4 linked regions of the Coturnix japonica genome follow. The protein of the gene in region 1 purifies or fractionates together with the protein of each later gene. This does not show direct contact. Links are inferred from orthologs where the notes say so. Each region holds a gene or a part of one and is shown on either strand. Other genes may lie near its edges.

Region 1 (3,560 bases):
TCATCTCATAAGCTTCTGATACTCACCTGATTAAAGTGAACAATATCCAGTAGTACCTTAAGGTCCAGCATTTTGGCTTTATGATGTTTATCAATTGCACAGTATATTGTATTTTCCATTTTTGGAAGGGCCTTCACTCGTGGTAGCACAAATTACACCAAAATTCTTATTGTAAGAGGAGTCATTCAAACAAAACCCCCCAATATTTTGCTATTAGCTTCATTTGAACCATTTTGGAGAAGCTGTCTATTTGAAAAGGTTCTCATGCATTTGAAAGGTGGTGCTAAATCATAAAAATAGAGCTGCCAGGCTGAGATGTTATTATTGTGCTGAGTGGGACTATTCATCATCCTGATTTACAGCCTAAAATCATAAACAGTGCCTGAGCAGTTGTGGGGTTGCTTTATGCGTGTGGATGTGGTGGTGGATACAACAAATGATGGTGCAGAAGCTTCCTGCTGCCATCACTGCTCAGTGTTTTTTGGCATTTTTTTCTCTGTACTGTACTTGAATGGCTGTCAGCGCAGCCATGAGGAGAGAATATTGCCTTGGAAAAGCTCCCCATGTCCCTGCCTTGTGAGTTTTCTTGCTGAGGATTCAGCAATCAGTTGCAATCAGGTTTCAGCATGTAATTTATTGGAGAGAATTACTGGCAGAACATGGGAGGTTTATTAGCAGAACTGCAATCTGGAATCACCTGAGGCTGGAAGTGGAGTAAAGACTTCAGGTTTTTTTGGTGTGTAGGGTTGCCAAAGGCTGAAATAGAGCACACCCAAGTGTAGGTTAGGCAAGGAGTAGGCAGTGATGCGTTTACAGCTGTGTTGACAGTGGGGATCTCTGGGGGATTCTGGGATCTCCCATAAAACCGTCATTTTTGGCTGCTGCTTTGTGGGAGAGTCCCCTGTAGAACAGGCTGATAGAGTGGGGGGATCGTATACTCAGAGCTTACATGGCAGGTTGTTTTGTTTCTATTCAAACTCCAGGTAACAGGAAAAATTGAGCTATTAATAGAAAGCTTAACAGTGAGAGTAATATAATATAGATCATTTGTACACGTGAGTGAATGACCTTCATAACTAACTTCTGAGTCACCCAAGCAAGAATATATTAGGCTTCAAAACAATTAACTGCATTGGTTTGACTTACCAGCTGATAAACTATCTTGGGGAGAGGGTGTGGGGGGGAAGCAGCTTTAAAAAGAATGGTTACAGTACTTGTTTGGGAAATGCTAACCATAGTTATAGGTTCCCATGTTGCTATGCCCAAGAACTGGTTTGGTTTGTAATGTTTTAAAGATAATAACAGATTATCTTGAGGTAAAAAATAGCGCAGGAGCACAAAAACAAAAAAGCATGGAAACAAGGAAACTTAGTCATTGCTTGGTGGCGTGGGTAAGATAAAAGCTTGGTCCTGCCTTTTCTATTTAATAACTGTGTAAGCTAGGGTTGTTTTTGTTGTTCCTCGCATTTTCTATCTTCCCTAGTGGAAATATGTTTTTGGACCTTAGGAGCTTTATTTGTTCAGCCTTAAATACAATGTGACTCTTCTGTAAATGAATCACGTGTGCTAAGTAGTAATTTTTATTACCAGATTGATTGCTTTAGAGATGTCACCAGTGAGTTTACTTGGTGATGTAGAATGCACCAGCTTGGGCTTTTGTGCTGATACCAGGAGTGGGCTAATCTTTTATCTGTTAATCTGTTAATCATCCTGTTTGATGAGTTGAAGTTCTTGAACTTTGGAGTTTAAAATAAGAAATATATATGTTGAGTATGTGTTACGTGATTGAAATCTAAAGCTCTTTGTTTGAAGAGCGTTAGTAAAAATCTTTTCAGATAGCCACAGTAATGTCTGTATTTTAGGAAAGCTTGATTGCTTCTAAGTAAATAGGGATATTCTTGCACAGGTGTTTATGTACATATATGAAATCATACATAAACAAAAATGTGTTAGGTGGACATTTTTTATATGTATATAATATCTATCTTTAGAAAGAATCTATTGCTCTGCTAATGGGAATGGAATTGATAACTGCTGCTGACGTAACTGTTGTGTGTGAATTTGACATAATTTTTTCCACGACACTCTCTGTTTTTCACCTTTTTCTCCTGCTTGATGGTGTCTGAACGTCTCTTCATAAGTTTGTGCACAGTGTCCTGTAATTTACTACTTAAATCTGCACCAGAATAAATGTTTAAAGTACCTAATGTGGCAAGGGCTAAAATAAACACAGAGTAGTTGAAATTTGAGTTATTGTTCAGTCATTGATTGGGCTTTTTATATTTCTATTATTGACACAAACCGTTTGGAAGTTACTTTTCAGAGACCCCATAGTGGTGGAATGCAATAGATCTGAAACAGCAGTAAGCTGTGGGCAGTATTTATGTCCAATATTGTAAACACTGTTAAGTTCTGAGATCTTAATTTTTCCACAGTGTTACTCCTTACTGCTGTGTAGAGATCGTGATAATGCATCTGATGAGTTCTAAATCTGACAAATACTGAGTGGACACAGTCAAGTTGGTATTTATTTGCAGTTCTTTTATCGTGATACCCAGTCAATTATGCTGTGTGAGCATCTGAAATAAGTAAACTTCTGTTATAACTCTTACTATGCTGAGACATTACAGTAAGTTTACTGTTGTTTTAATACTAAATGGCTAAAATGATAAGGAAATCAATTGCTTAGAATTGTAATTCTATATGTGAGGTGAGATTAACCTCTTTAAATGTCTTTTGTTTTGTAGAAGATCCTTTTGAGGACTTCTTTGGGCGCAGACGGGGTCCAAGGGGAAGCAGAAGCAGAGATGGCGGATCATTTTTCAATGCCTTTGGTGGATTCCCTGCTTTTGGAAGTGCTTTTCCTTCATTTGACACAGGTAAATAGTGTAGCATTTAACAAAGAATACTTTTGTCTCACAAAGGATTTCAGTGTGGTAAGCAGATAAATACTTTTAAAAGTTGCCTTCATTCAGGAAATTGTGAGACTGATATTCTGGGAATTTAGTCTGCTTTCTAAAAAGTCTGAATGTAAATAAAACCTTTGTTATAGTATTTGGTCTACTTGAAAGTTGATAAAAAGTGAACAGACCTCTAAGACTACGTTGCAGTTGTTTATGGCTTGAGAATAGTTTTGGTTCTGTTTGTCCTTGAGCATTGGTGTGACTGTGTTAAGTTTTGGGAAGCACCCTGGGAATATTGTGTTTTGAAACTTGTGGTACTATTTAGAACGAGTTCTGGAATAGTTAATTTGAATGGTGAGGTCTGTGTCTCAGAGCTTTTTGAGAGTTTATGGTAGTTAGTATTGTTTCAAGTGTTAAGACTGAATATTAGTTGGGATGTTTGCAATACAAAACTAAAGCTAGGAGGTGGTCTGATTAGCTGATAAATTTGAAGATCACAGTCATGCAAAATTATGTCTTTAGTCAAATAATTGTCACGTTAACATTTTCCCCGATAGGTTTTACTTCATTTGGCTCGCTGGGACACGGAGGCATTGCTTCGTTCTCCTCTACGTCATTTGGTGGTAGTGGGATGGGAAACTTCAAATCAGTATCAAC
Region 2 (4,233 bases), on another chromosome or scaffold:
GCTAAAGTCTACCTAGCACGGACAAGAATTTAATTAAGAGGAAAAGCACAATATCCAGCCAAATAAAATCAATCACTCAGATGCCTTCCCTTCTCAGTCCATGCTCATCTCCGCATGATACTGCAGCCACAGGATCTGCTCCTGCAGAAGAAGCTTGGGCAAATTCTGACCTATCAGACCATGATAATTTTGGTGAGATTTCCTGACCTGTTTCTCAGCAAGGCACAAACTCACAGCCACATTTAACTTATGTCTCTTAGCTACTACCCTGAATTTTCCTCTTATTTCCAGCTTTTTTATTAACTCTGCTAAGTATGTGGCTATCAGCTACAGCAAAACAAAGCTTTTCAAACAAAGAGATCCTTGAGACAAATATTGCAAAGGCAAAGATGGGAGGGCTGTGGGAAGGGCAGCTGTACCTGGGGTTTATCAGGCCCAGCACTGCTGGCCAGGCGAGGAAAGGGGTTCTCCTGCTCTGCATTGCAATGCTGTGTCCTCACATCAAATACTTCCAAATTGGGATATTCTATGGCTCTAAGGAAGGAACAAGGCTGAGCAATTGTCGCAATAAACAAACCCCACTGTCAGAGGATGGATGAGTGTCAGTGTCAATCAGCGTCAGCCCAATCTGTGACCCTGCCCTGAGCTGACAAGGTTCTGACCATCCCCAGGGTGTGCACAGGCAGCTCCTCTGAAATGAGGCACGTGGGTAATGAACGAATGCACACCTCAACCTCTTCGGAGCAAGCAGCTTTGCAGCAGACAATGTCTGCTCTTCAGGGGCTCGGCATTGACTCTGCAGGGTAAATAACTGTCAATAGGCGCCTGGGGCCAAGTGGATCTGTCAGATGGCTGCAGGTGCTCGCTGCCAAGTGGTGTAACCCACTGCCAGCACTCAGAGATGGGGGACAGGCTGGTGCTCACACAGACACTCTACATTCAGATGTTTGCCAGCATCAGTGAATCCAAAGGCTGAGACACGATCAAAGAGTCGATTCTGAAGTACAGTGCCTGTCCACACTGCAACTCTGAAACAGACATTATTTGTGCTGTTTGCCAGGGCTGGACACACATAACCTTAACCCATCAGAAAGGACGAAGTTCCTGGCTTCTCGTTCCGTTGGACCAGAATCGCAGAATCACCGGCTCGGAGCAGGAGCTGTCAGAGCGGTGTCAGACGGTGTCAGAGCGCTGTCAGAGCGGTGTCAGAGCGGGGACATTCAGGCACTCGGCGCTGCTCCCCCAGCCCGCACCCAGCTCGTCTGTCCCAGCCGGGTCTCCCTGCCATAACCCCGCACCACACTGGAGGCCACCAGAAGTTTCCAGCCGGGCCGGGCTCGGCCGCCTCCCTCCTCCCCGTCCCTCCCCTTTCCCCTCCTCCGCCGGCCGGCGCCGATTTCCAGACACTTCCAGCCCCGCGCCTCCGCCCCCCCGCTCCCCGCGGCGGATAAAGCGGCCGGGCCCGGCCTCCCCGCCCCGCACTCGGCGCATGGCCCGGATCCGGCATGAGCGCTGCCACGCACTCCCCGCTGCTCCAAACGGAGAGCGGCTCCGAGCCGCTGCCGCCCGGCTGGGAGATCAAGGTGGACCCGCAGACGGGCTGGCCTTTCTTCGTGGACCACAACAGCCGAACCACCACCTGGAGCGACCCGCGTCTGCGGGGCGACGCGGCCAAAGTACGGCGGGGGGTGCGGGGCTGCGCTATGGGGCAGGGGGTGGGGGGGGGGGTTGGAGGGAGGTGGGGGCCCGGCGCTGGGCTGGGGGCTGCCGGGGCCAGGCTGCGGCTCAGCGCGTGGCAATGCAGTGAGGCCAGGAGCTGCCTTTTGTCTCTGACGCACTGCAGTCCCTTTTTTGTGCATTAAATCATCCGATACCTCGGCTCCGGGGTGTTTATTTAAAGTTGGTGAAGTGAACCCGGCCGGCCCGGGGAAGGCTGGGATGGGTTTTTTTCGGCTGCAAATGAGCCGAGGCGACGTACAGAGCTTCAAAGTGACGCGGCTCAGACTTGTCAAGAGTTTTAGGGTTTTTTGTTGTCTTGGTCTCGTTCCATACTCCGTCACTTCGTTGTGTTGTGTCTGTAAGTGCGCTCAGAGAAAAGCTGCATCTCAGTCCTAATATGTCCATGGCTGCGGGCAGCGGCTGGGAGCCGGTGGGACCCGCAAAGTGGCTTTTCGGAGCCCAACTCTGAGCCTTCAGAAGTTGCGCCGTGTGACCCGCCTTAGTATTAACGCGGTGACTGAAAAGAAAGTGCTGGAAACTTGAGCTGCACCGCGAGTTGCCAGAGTGGTGGAAAAACAAATCCTGGGGGGTTTTCTTGCATTTCTCTGCAAGCAACGCTGCTTTCTTTCAGCCCGGGTACGGCCAACCTCGCGGCTTCGCCTTTAGTTCTGCAACCCCATAAAATGGGCAATGATGAAGCATAATATCGCGGCTCCTGTGGAGGATTTCTGTCCGTCCTTGCGACCTAAAATGTCGCCCGTTGCCGCCGTTAGGACGAGGCCCAGGATCGCTCCGTGCTGGACCCTGGCCGCCGCTGCTCGGAGCGGTGCTGGAAGGGATCGCTTGGACTGTGCGGAGCCACGGCTGGCCCCGAGCCCAGCGCCGGCTCTCAGCTGCCAGGCCCGGCTCCGTCCTGCTGCAAGTCAGCTGGAACAGCCCAGCTGCTCCCTGGACGTGGTGCGCGTGGAGCTGGCAGCCTCCAAGTGCTTTGATCACGGTGACGCGGCCCAGCGAGCGCTGACTGTGGCCATTGCTTCGCCGTCCTGTCGGGGAGAGCCGGCAGTGCTGGGAGGAATCGGGGCTGCCATCTTAGGCAGAGCCCCTTCCCTGGGAAAAGCAGCCTCTGGTGTGGCACGTGGCTCACGTGGAGCCAGTGGAAGATACTCAGTAACTCCAAAATGTATCTTCGATGTAACTGATACAGTTTTTATTCCCCTCCCCACCCAAGGAGTCTTAAAGGATTAAAGCGCAAAAGAGCATTTTGAGAAACATTAAGTTCTTACATTGAATTGCCCATTTTATGAGCGCAGATCAGCTCAGTGTGAAAGCAGACAGAGCTCACACAGAAGTGAAGGGGCTGTGCTTCTCCTTCTCCCCACTGCTCCAGCCAAGTGATGTTGTGCAGTTGCACTCACAGATACAAAGTGCTGTTTGGAATGGAAGAAATGCATTGTGCCAGTTACAACATAGCCTTTCACCCCCTTTTTCCACTCAATTATTGATTATATAGTTCTGGCAGTAATGGTAGATCTTGTTTGATGTAGTTTGGTGATGTGAATGTTGAGAGTACAATAGGGAAAAGTGCTTTAACTCATTTTTGGCTACTGACTTCCTAGTGGTAATGAGACACCTACTAACATGGGCTGTTATGGCAATAAAAATATGCTTTTTAGAGCCATAAAGCATAGTCAAGTCGAAAAGCATGCATTTATTCAAGGCTTTTGTTATGGAAATAGCACTTGAAAGTAACTCGTTTAAGGGAGAAATCACATTTAAGCTGCATTTGATAATTGTATAAAAAACAGGTTTTGAAGTGCTCTAATGGATCAGTGCTGGTTTTGAGTGGGTGACTGAAACAAAACAAGTTTTCATCCCTATCTGATGTTAAATCTGTGGTAATAAAAAGTGGCTCCTCTCCTGCCAACTTGGAAGTGTTACTACAGGCAGAAAGAGCTGTGCCTCTTTTCAGCTCTTTTTGTGGAATTCACTTGTTTTCCAAACAGAAACACCTGTCACCGCTCACTACAAGCAGGAACAGCTTTGGGACTGGTCACAGAGAAATACTTCCAGGGATAGTATTGGAAGGTTGAGTTCTCAGTTCCCTCCTTCTTAGTCTGCCTTCAGTGAGAGTGATCAGGAGTGATCAGAGAACTGCAGAAGCCAACCTTGTGTCAGACCATGTCTCATTAAGGATGAAAACACAGGCAAAGTTGTACTGACTGTACTGATGAAATCAGTGATTTTGTTGATCCCTTTTATGTTAGTCTCTATAAATCCTTATTCTCTTTATAAATCCTTGTTCTCTCTCCAAATATTCCCTCTTCACAGAGATATAGGTAGAACATGAGCTGTTGCTCAGAGAGCAGAGCGCAGGTCCAAAGCTGACTGACTTCTTTTAGCTGATCAAACAGGCTGTGGCATGGCAAGGTGCTGCATTTCCCCTACAGCTCATCTTGATCTTCCTGCTCTAGATTTGCCAGCAGTGTAACCATGCTGACTGCATTAACTGTACCT
Region 3 (4,080 bases), on another chromosome or scaffold:
CCATTGGGTTCGGTCTGTGACCTCTTCCTTCCCCCTGTGGGTGCTCCAGTTCTCAGGGCTCACAGTATCACAGAATGACCCGGGTTGGAAGGGACTTCAAGGATCATGTAGTTCCAACCCCCCTGCCTGGCAGGGCCACCAAACATACACCTTTACTAGATCAGGCTGCCCAGGGCCCCGTCCAACCTGGTCTTGAACACCTCCAAGGACGGGGCATCCACAACCTCCCTGGGCAGCCTGTTCCAGGGCTCAGTCTTGCTTCTTCCTATTCACACTGTATCCTCGTTGCAGCTTCTACTCCGATCAGTAGATTGTGAACTTTGGCCGCATACCTGTATCCTTCTGTTTTAAACATAGCGTTTATTTACCCACGCCACGTGATATTCAGTTTGCTTTGAAAACGCTGTGGTTGCCCCTTTGGCTGAGTGCGCAGCTAACAGCGCTGGGGACGTTAGGGGGAGGGATGCTGAATGGCAGCGAGTCAGCAGCAGAAGGTGGAGCTCAGGGCAGTGGCATCACTCCTCGCTTCCATTTTGCCCTTGGCTCAGCCTCTCCTCTTCCCCCATTCTCCTCTGCCTGGACTGCTTTAAAAAAGGAAGGGAGGCAGTGTGGGTAATGGCTTTGATTTATGACAGATTCTGCGTTTCTAACAAGGGGGAGCTTGTCTGTGTTGCTGGGGCTTCAGCCACCAGTGAGCCAGATTTGCTTAACTGGTAACATTGCTGGTAACATAGGTTACATAGGTTACATAGGTTACATATAGGTTACAGTGTGCACTCCTGCTCTGTGTTGGGGAGGCAGTAATGCCTGATGCTGTGTATGGAAGCAGCTTTAGGAGCCCTGCCATGTCTGGGGGTGGGATGGCTGCTGGGATCCGTGGAAAGCAGGTCATTTTATCGCAGCCTTGCTCCCAGTCCCATAAATAACGCTTCCATTCTTGCTCTCTCCCTGCCCGTCTGCACACACCCAATGCACCACGTGCCCGCCCAGGGTTGAACACGCCGAGCAGGAAACGCTTTTCCATGCTGGAACAGTCAGACGTGTGACTGAGGCTCACGGAGGGGGGCAGTGATGCCTTGGTGGTGTTGGCAGCGGCTCCGGGTGAGTGTCGGTGCCCACGGGTGCGCTGTGAGCTGGCGGCCCGCTGCCATAGAGCAGCATAGCGGCGCTCGGGCCGCACTGACCGCCAGGGGGCGCTGTGCCCCGACACGGGCCCGAGCGCCGCTTCCTGCCCGGCGAGAGCGCACCGACACACGGCGCTGTGCGCGCATGCGCGGGGCGAGCCGGCTGGAGCGGAAGGGGTGAGCGGGCTGCGAGCCGCCATGGGAGCACGGGAGTGAGCGGCCCGTGTGTGCATCCTTCTGCTCTTCGTCTTCTTCCTGCCGTCTGCCCCTCGGCACCGCACGGAGAAGGGGCACAAGGTGGGGGCGAGCCTGGGGCCGGGGGGGGTGGTAGTGGTGGTGGTGGGGAGGTGAGGTGCGGGTCTGGGGGCGGCCGCCTTTGCGACGTGCGGCCTGCTCAGCGCTTCAACCTCCATCCCTCCATCCCTCCCTCCTTAGAGCCCGCCCCCGGCCAGGGCAGCAGCATGTTCCGGTTGATGAGGGACGGCGAGCCCGAGGATCCCATGTTCGCTATGTGAGTCGGCTCGAGGGGCCGGGGCGCTGCGGCACGGCCTGCACGGAGGGGAGGGGGGTCATGGGGGGATGGGAGCGGCCTGTTTCGTGCCAGCCGAACCACTGTGGCTTTGAGGACACATTGAATAAAGTAGGCCAAATACACTGTGAGTGTGTGAGGAAAGCAGCGCTGGAGCGCCCGACCTTTTGTATGTTTGGTGGCCCTGTGTATGTTTGGTGGCCCTGCCAGGCAGGGGGGTTGGAACTACATGATCCTTGAGGTCCCTTCCAACCTGGGTCATTCTGTGATTCTGTGTGATTCTGTGACCTTTAGCTGTGCTTAAGGATTGCTGCGTATAACGAGTAAGGTTTGATAACATCATCTGTGCCTGTTCGTTTCTACCCCGCCGAAGAATTCATTAGTGGAGCTGGAGGAGGCTGCTGAGGGAGCTGTCACGTTGTGAGGGACTAAATGAGGAGAATTCTAGGCGTTTTAAAACACAAGCCTGAAAACCTGATGTGGGTCCCAATGATGCTTTGCTTTGGGGTTCCTCTTACTGGTTGCTTTTATTTCTATCCCCTGCTCAGAAATGGGTTGCAACTGATGAGAGGTGGCGGTTGTTGCCAAAGCAGTTAAGGACAAGAGTGTTATATGGTAGGAGTTTGTATGAAGTGTGGCACTGCTATACATTAGTTACAATTAATATATGTAGGAAAACAAAGCCCTGCTCTTGCTTATAAAGTTGATTATAAGAATGTTATCAACCATAAACCAATGAGTAGGAGAGGAGACCTGGAAGTCTCAGTCACAGAGTGAGTGTACAGTTCTCACTGATGTGGCAGCTATGAGTCTCGCTTTTATTATGCAAAGTATTCCCAGCAGAAACAGGAAAGTATTGGGTTGTGCTCGGTGCTTTTGTGATCTCAGGAAATTACGTGCTGCTCAGGTTGTTTGTGCTCTGGAGGGATGAATGCAGAACTACCAGATGTGCAGAGAAATGCTGTGATGCTTCTCAGGCTCTTTAGCGTGGCTGCTGTTATTTGGGACTGTCCCTGTTCTACTTTTTCCCTCCTTGCTTCTCCAGCGTGTACAAGTATGTCCTTAAAGCAGAGGCTGCTAATGCAAAGAGTTTTGATGGCTCAAGAGGAAATGAGTATGAGATGATGGTAGCGCTTGGACTGCAGATCTTTTACCTTGTAGAGCAGTGAGGTTTTGGAGCTTGGCTCAAAAGTATTAGTGGGAACAGAGCATGGAGCTGGTGCTGAATAGACATTAGTTAGTGTGTAAGAGAGGTTCTGTGGCATAATACTTTCAGTCACAAGAGAAGAAATGGGATCCAGCCCTAAGGATTAGCATACGCAACACTGTGTGTGTTCTTGAGCTTCTGGATTTTCAGCTTAGAAAATACAGTCACAGTTGCATAAGAGAAACTCCGAGTCAGAATGTGTGTATTATACAGGACTCAGTGTTCTGTCATCCTTTTCTCACCACTGTTCTCTCAATCTTTCCCAAAGGGACCCTTTTGCTATCCACCGGCAGCACATGAACCGCATGCTTTCTGGAAGCTTTGGCTTTGGCCCGTTGCTTGGTATCACTGATGGGACCACGCCTGGGGCTCGCCAGGCTGGCCGTAGGATGCAGGTAAGAGAGGGGCTCTGAGGAGTATCTGGTGTTTGGCTGTTGCAAGATCATCGTTTATTCTGTTTTTCTGTTGTCTCAACAGGCGGGAGCTGTTTCACCCTTTGGGATGCTGGGCATGGTAAGTCCTCTGTTTTTCAGTGTCAAGTTTGAAGATAACTGGTTCCTCCTGCACTGCTATTCCTGAGTTGTATGGTTTTAGACCTTCCACTTCTCCTCATACTTCAGTGTAGTCTGTGGAGCTGTTTTAGAGGAGTCCATTTATACGGGCACCTTGAACAGAGGAGATCCATAAAGCTGTTACAGCATGGTATTTCATAGGAATTGAGATAGGTGATATCTAGGAAGAACGGAGGGTCTCTTAACCTCATGTGTCTAAGAAGAAGCTGTGGATCTGTTTGGAGATTGTTGTGAAACTGTGATGACACATGGAAAAGACTCGGCCGTCATTAGGCAGAGGCGGTAATTGAACTTCCTTTGAAAATGGTTGCAGAATGAAAAGCTAAAAGAGTAATTCAAGAGAACAGAATTGGAGTGAGAATTGCTGGATGTGTGGGAAAATGTTGTTCCTGGAGCTTGTTGATCTCAGTTATCTATTGTAGTAATACAGGGGAAATAAGTTATTCCAGATCCAGCAGCTTTAGGTGCCTTGCTCTGCGGGATTGACTCAATGAAGCATCCTGGAATCATTCTAGTTCAGAAAAGGATTAATAATACAAACAGTTGGACTTCAAAGGGTAATAACATTGCGTGTGAGTTCTGGTCTGCTCTAAACGAGAACAAGAAGCCACTTGAAGAAGGGAAAAAGGAATCAGTGCCTTTAAACTG
Region 4 (4,290 bases), on another chromosome or scaffold:
TTTTCAATGTAAGTATTCCACATTGCAATTTCCAAGAACCTCTCATGTATATTGTTATAATTACTCTTGGGAAGCAGGCACAGCCTCATAGCTGAAGATGTGGTGGCTGTGGAGGTCCCCATCTCAATTCCATCTCTGCCCATGCATGGCAGCAGCGATGCCCTTGCAGTGCTGGAAGCTCCCAAAGCACAGAGCAGCGGTCCCAACACCGTGCGTATGGCACAGGTTGGAGACGCAGAGCTCGGTGGCTGTGCAGATGGACCTGAGATGAGCTCCCAGCTCAGGTGGGCACTGCAAGAAATCTGCTGCAGGTGTGGAGGCTTCCTCGCACGCAGGGTGCTGCAGCTGCCCGCGCTGCTCTTCCCTCCCACAGCGCCAACAGCTGAGCTTCAATTGGAGGTCAGGTGAGGGCTGAGCAGCGCAGCCCCCTGCAGCACCAGCAGAATGCTGCCCTTCAGTGAACTAACAGCAGAACAACAGGCTGCTCAGTGGGGGCTCTGAGCCTCTTTGGACACACACAGGATCTGTCATTCTCTTCTAAGGATGATGAACAACACAGTAAAGAGTAAAACATTGTGTTGTTTATGAAAATACAATATGCAGTTTATTGATTTGTTGTTGCTGTTGTTGTTTATTGCCATGATTTGTCTTTTTTTTTTTTCCCCCAAGAGTCTATTTCACACACTATGTATAGAGCAGAGAAAAGTTGGTATCGCAGTATATGACCAAACAACCGCAGTTGTTTTTTTCTATAAAAGGAGGAGAATGGAGGACAGGCAAGATTCTGATCGATTCTGACAGTTCAGCAGAAGCACATTACAACTTGCAACAGAGCAGCATCAACTCTACAGAAGAAATCATGATAGCATTCCTTATTGCTGAAACAAAATGCCAATGCTACCGCAACCCATAGAATGCCTGCACCTTGCAATCCAAGATACCGTGGTGCATGTGTATGCGTATATATGCGTGTACTTGTAAACAGAGATTTTCCTTATAGCTTCTGTGTGCTTTTATGGAGAACTGGATCACTCTGTGGTTTGCCAGAAGTAGCCACGAGGCAGATTAATCCTGTTTGGTGATGCAAGGCTGCCTCATCGAGGATTTCTGATGCTCCAGCAACGTGATGGACTTCTCAGAATTCTCCAGGTTTCGGAGCAGAGTCTCTAACCTTCTTTTGATCTTCTTCTGATCCTCGATAGCGCATCCAATGACAACGGACTGAAATTTCTGATCAATGGGTCCTGCCGGCACATCAGACGTGCACGCGCCGTAAAGCGACATTAAGCGGATTTTGGCGTCTTCCAAATCATCCAGGAGCTTGTTGACGATTTCATCGATCATCTTGGTGGCGTGCAGGAGGGACTCCTGCTGCTGGGCGTTACGGATGGTTTCAACAGAAACCTCCACAGTGAGGGTTCGGCCCATCAGACGGTTGGCAGTCAGGTTAAGTTCTTCTCTCTCACCTAAAGCGAAAGCAGAAGGTATCCTGTGTTACTGACTAACACCTCCCAGTGCCTTTACATCACCAAGACAAGCAAAGTGCTACCGTGTGCCAACATGGATGTCTGTTGTTTCTTTTCTTTTTAAGAGGTGACAATCAGATTGATTTTCAGGGGCCAGAGGTTTTACATCTACGTGCCTGAGTCCCACCCATGTCACAGAGGCTGGTGTCTTCTGATCTGAAATTAGGCTGTAAGCTTTAAGAAAGGTATAAGCGATGTTTTTCCACTGCTGACACAGTGCTTGTTTTGTCACACTGCAGTAAAGCACCATATCAGGAAGCATTGATCATTACAAAAGCAGGCACGTGAGGGATGGACCCTCAATGCTGCTGTGAGAAAGAGTATAAATACACGGCACCTCGAAAGGCCACAGACAGAAGAGTTACTTTGCTTACCAGATGCAGTTAGAGGCCATTAGCAAAAAGGAAACGGGGACCCCAGAGGGAGGGAAGGCCCATCGGTATCCTCTGCCAGCTCCAGCATGGTGCCTTTAGCACTGGAGCAGCTCCCCTTGCTGGTCTGCTTTTAGGGCAGACAGGAGGGGATGGCAAAGCAGCTTCTCACCTTCACTGATGTGCCTCATGTCCTGGCTGTTCTGTATGTTGTGGATCATTTCTAGCAGGGTTTCTTTTTCTTGTTCCATAGCAGATGCTGCGTCACGGAAAGCCTCTACCCTGGGCGTAGTTAAACCAAACAAAGTCTTTCAATAATAAAACACATTTTCCCCCATAAAACTGCCAAGATCTTTCAATTAAACAAAAAAAAAAAAAAAAAAAAAAAAAAAATCAACAAAAGAGCCCCACTGCAAGTGCAGTCAGCTTGCAAGTATCTGTGCTCCAGACATTCTGACTCCATGACCCCCACCTACATAAAAACTTAATCTTTCAAGACACAAAATCATTCTAAAACTGAATACATGAGCCAATAGATAGAAAACAACCAGCTCCTTTGTAATGTGAGAAGAATGGGACAGACAGGCAAGGTGAGCATGTTTTGTTGCCTTTATGGGTAGTCCTGCCAAGCGCCTGCTTTCACGTCGCTGTGGTTTGTTTCTCTCCATAAAGATGCAGCAAACTGGCAGGAGGCTGTGACTCACAGAGGATGAAGCTCTGTTCTGGTCAGCTCCTATTTCTGGGCTTGCAGGAAAGCACGCAGTTGAGCTATCCTGAAATCAGACCCTTTCCCTGCACAACTCACTGTGCTGAACCTGACACGTGGCACACTGCTGCCAAGGGGTCAGGCACGGGGCAACACTGTGCCATGAGCTGTTCAGCCAGAGAGCTGCCCAGCTGTGTGCTGCTGCGTTGCCACTCTTCACCCACAACCCATGGCTTCTTCCCTGCCACGGCTTTTAGGAGAGGGCTTTTGCTCAGAGCAGTGTCACCTAGAGCAGCACAAGGGGAACAGCTGCCTAGGAGAGAAGGGGCAGGAGGGGCACCTTCCTGACTGCGCCTGCTGGGTGCTTGGAGAGATCCCAAGTCCAAGCAAAGCATCACATGAACCTGGCCAATGGCTTGGGATGCTTTCAACACAGCTCAGAGACCTTGATGCTGCAAACAGGCAGGGAATGCACCCGGCCTGGTATATTCATTAAGTCTGTCCAGAAAGCGAAAGCAAACCGAAGCACTGCTAACTCTCCAGTTCATTCTTCTTCCTTGCTTTATAGTGCTCTTCCGTGGTGGTGCTGGGAAAAGGGAGAAGGCAGGTGGGGCCAGGAACTCAGGGCCTTCAGTACCCACACGCCTCACGCACGCTGAGCTCAAGGAATGGCTCTGTTTGACGAAATCTTTAGGCTGAGTTCCCCAGTGAAACCACACGCTTCAGGCCCTCCCTTTCATGTTAATGTGAGGAGGAATGGGAAAAGTTAATGCAATGCAAATTCTTGCCAGGAGCAAATATTCTTAATTGTTATTTTGGATGGGTTAGTAAGAGTAATAAGGGCAGGTGGAGCCACTTCATACTTCAGATGTCAGCACTTTATAATTTAGGAAGTCTAGCAGAATTTTCATACGTGCCTCGCCGTGCCTTTAAAAAAAACCAGCACTGTCACCATTTGGAAAGTCCATTTTGGTCCCCAGAAAGCTGAAACAAGTGCAAAATTTCACTTTTAACAGCATTTTTACATCAACTCAAGTCTGGCACTGCCCTGACTCAAAAGCAAAGGTCTGCCCTCAGTGCGCAGGTTGACCCGTGGCTCTTACCAGCTCTGCGTCCAAGATCAAGCTACCAGTTCATGGCCTACAAAGCCAGACTGTCAGAGACAACGACTGTGTACCAAAAACAATGACCAATCACACCTTTGATTGACATAAGTTTATAACTAAATCAGCTGTGACAAACCTGCAGGGCGCCCAGCACTTGATCCCCAGCTGGCTCCCTGCACCACTGCTGAGGAAATGACAGAATGGCCCAGGTTGGAGGGGACTTCAAGGATCATGAAGCTCCATCCCCCCACCACAGGCAGGGCCACCAACCTCCCCATTTAACACTACAACAGGCTGCCCAGGGCTCCATCCAACCTGGCCCTGAACACCTCCAGGGATGGGGCATCCACAACCTCTCTGGGCAGCCTGTTCCAGCTCCTCACCACTCTCATAGTAAAGAACTTCCCCCGGACAGCCAGCCTAAATCTATCCTCCTTCAACTTAAAGCCATTTCCCCTTGTCCTGCAGTTATCTGCCCTTTCAAAGAGTTGACTCCCCTCCTGTTTATAGGCTCCACCCAGCAGCACCAGAGGGCCAGACCATGAGAACCTGTGAGCTTTCACTCAGAAACACGCAGGGCT

Evidence for each region.
Region 2: the proteins of DNAJB6 (region 1) and BAG3 purify together in Homo sapiens (co-immunoprecipitation; 3 studies listed by BioGRID and IntAct, with this or other methods). This does not show direct contact. The link is inferred for Coturnix japonica from reciprocal best matches to the Homo sapiens genes DNAJB6 and BAG3.
Region 3: the proteins of DNAJB6 (region 1) and MLF2 purify together in Homo sapiens (affinity purification with mass spectrometry; 3 studies listed by BioGRID and IntAct, with this or other methods). This does not show direct contact. The link is inferred for Coturnix japonica from reciprocal best matches to the Homo sapiens genes DNAJB6 and MLF2.
Region 4: the proteins of DNAJB6 (region 1) and BAG2 purify together in Homo sapiens (affinity purification with mass spectrometry; 4 studies listed by BioGRID and IntAct, with this or other methods). This does not show direct contact. The link is inferred for Coturnix japonica from reciprocal best matches to the Homo sapiens genes DNAJB6 and BAG2.

What each region holds. Positions count from the first base shown.
Region 1 is NC_029517.1:7,735,065-7,738,624, forward strand, and holds part of DNAJB6 (dnaJ homolog subfamily B member 6), read left to right. Parts: intron 1-2,747; coding exon 2,748-2,879; intron 2,880-3,460; coding exon 3,461-3,560. UniProt on the Homo sapiens protein: Has a stimulatory effect on the ATPase activity of HSP70 in a dose-dependent and time-dependent manner and hence acts as a co-chaperone of HSP70. Plays an indispensable role in the organization of KRT8/KRT18 filaments.
Region 2 is NC_029521.1:26,988,823-26,993,055, forward strand, and holds the start of BAG3 (BAG family molecular chaperone regulator 3), read left to right. Parts: upstream 1-1,432; 5' UTR 1,433-1,505; coding exon 1,506-1,676; intron 1,677-4,233. UniProt on the Homo sapiens protein: Co-chaperone and adapter protein that connects different classes of molecular chaperones including heat shock proteins 70 (HSP70s), e.g. HSPA1A/HSP70 or HSPA8/HSC70, and small heat shock proteins (sHSPs), e.g. HSPB8.
Region 3 is NC_029516.1:69,478,763-69,482,842, reverse strand, and holds the start of MLF2 (myeloid leukemia factor 2), read left to right. Parts: upstream 1-1,266; 5' UTR 1,267-1,421; intron 1,422-1,559; 5' UTR 1,560-1,585; coding exon 1,586-1,635; intron 1,636-3,128; coding exon 3,129-3,255; intron 3,256-3,337; coding exon 3,338-3,373; intron 3,374-4,080.
Region 4 is NC_029518.1:79,192,597-79,196,886, forward strand, and holds the end of BAG2 (BAG family molecular chaperone regulator 2), read right to left. Parts: intron 2,180-4,290; coding exon 2,070-2,179; intron 1,467-2,069; coding exon 1,066-1,466; 3' UTR 560-1,065; downstream 1-559. UniProt on the Homo sapiens protein: Co-chaperone for HSP70 and HSC70 chaperone proteins. Acts as a nucleotide-exchange factor (NEF) promoting the release of ADP from the HSP70 and HSC70 proteins thereby triggering client/substrate protein release.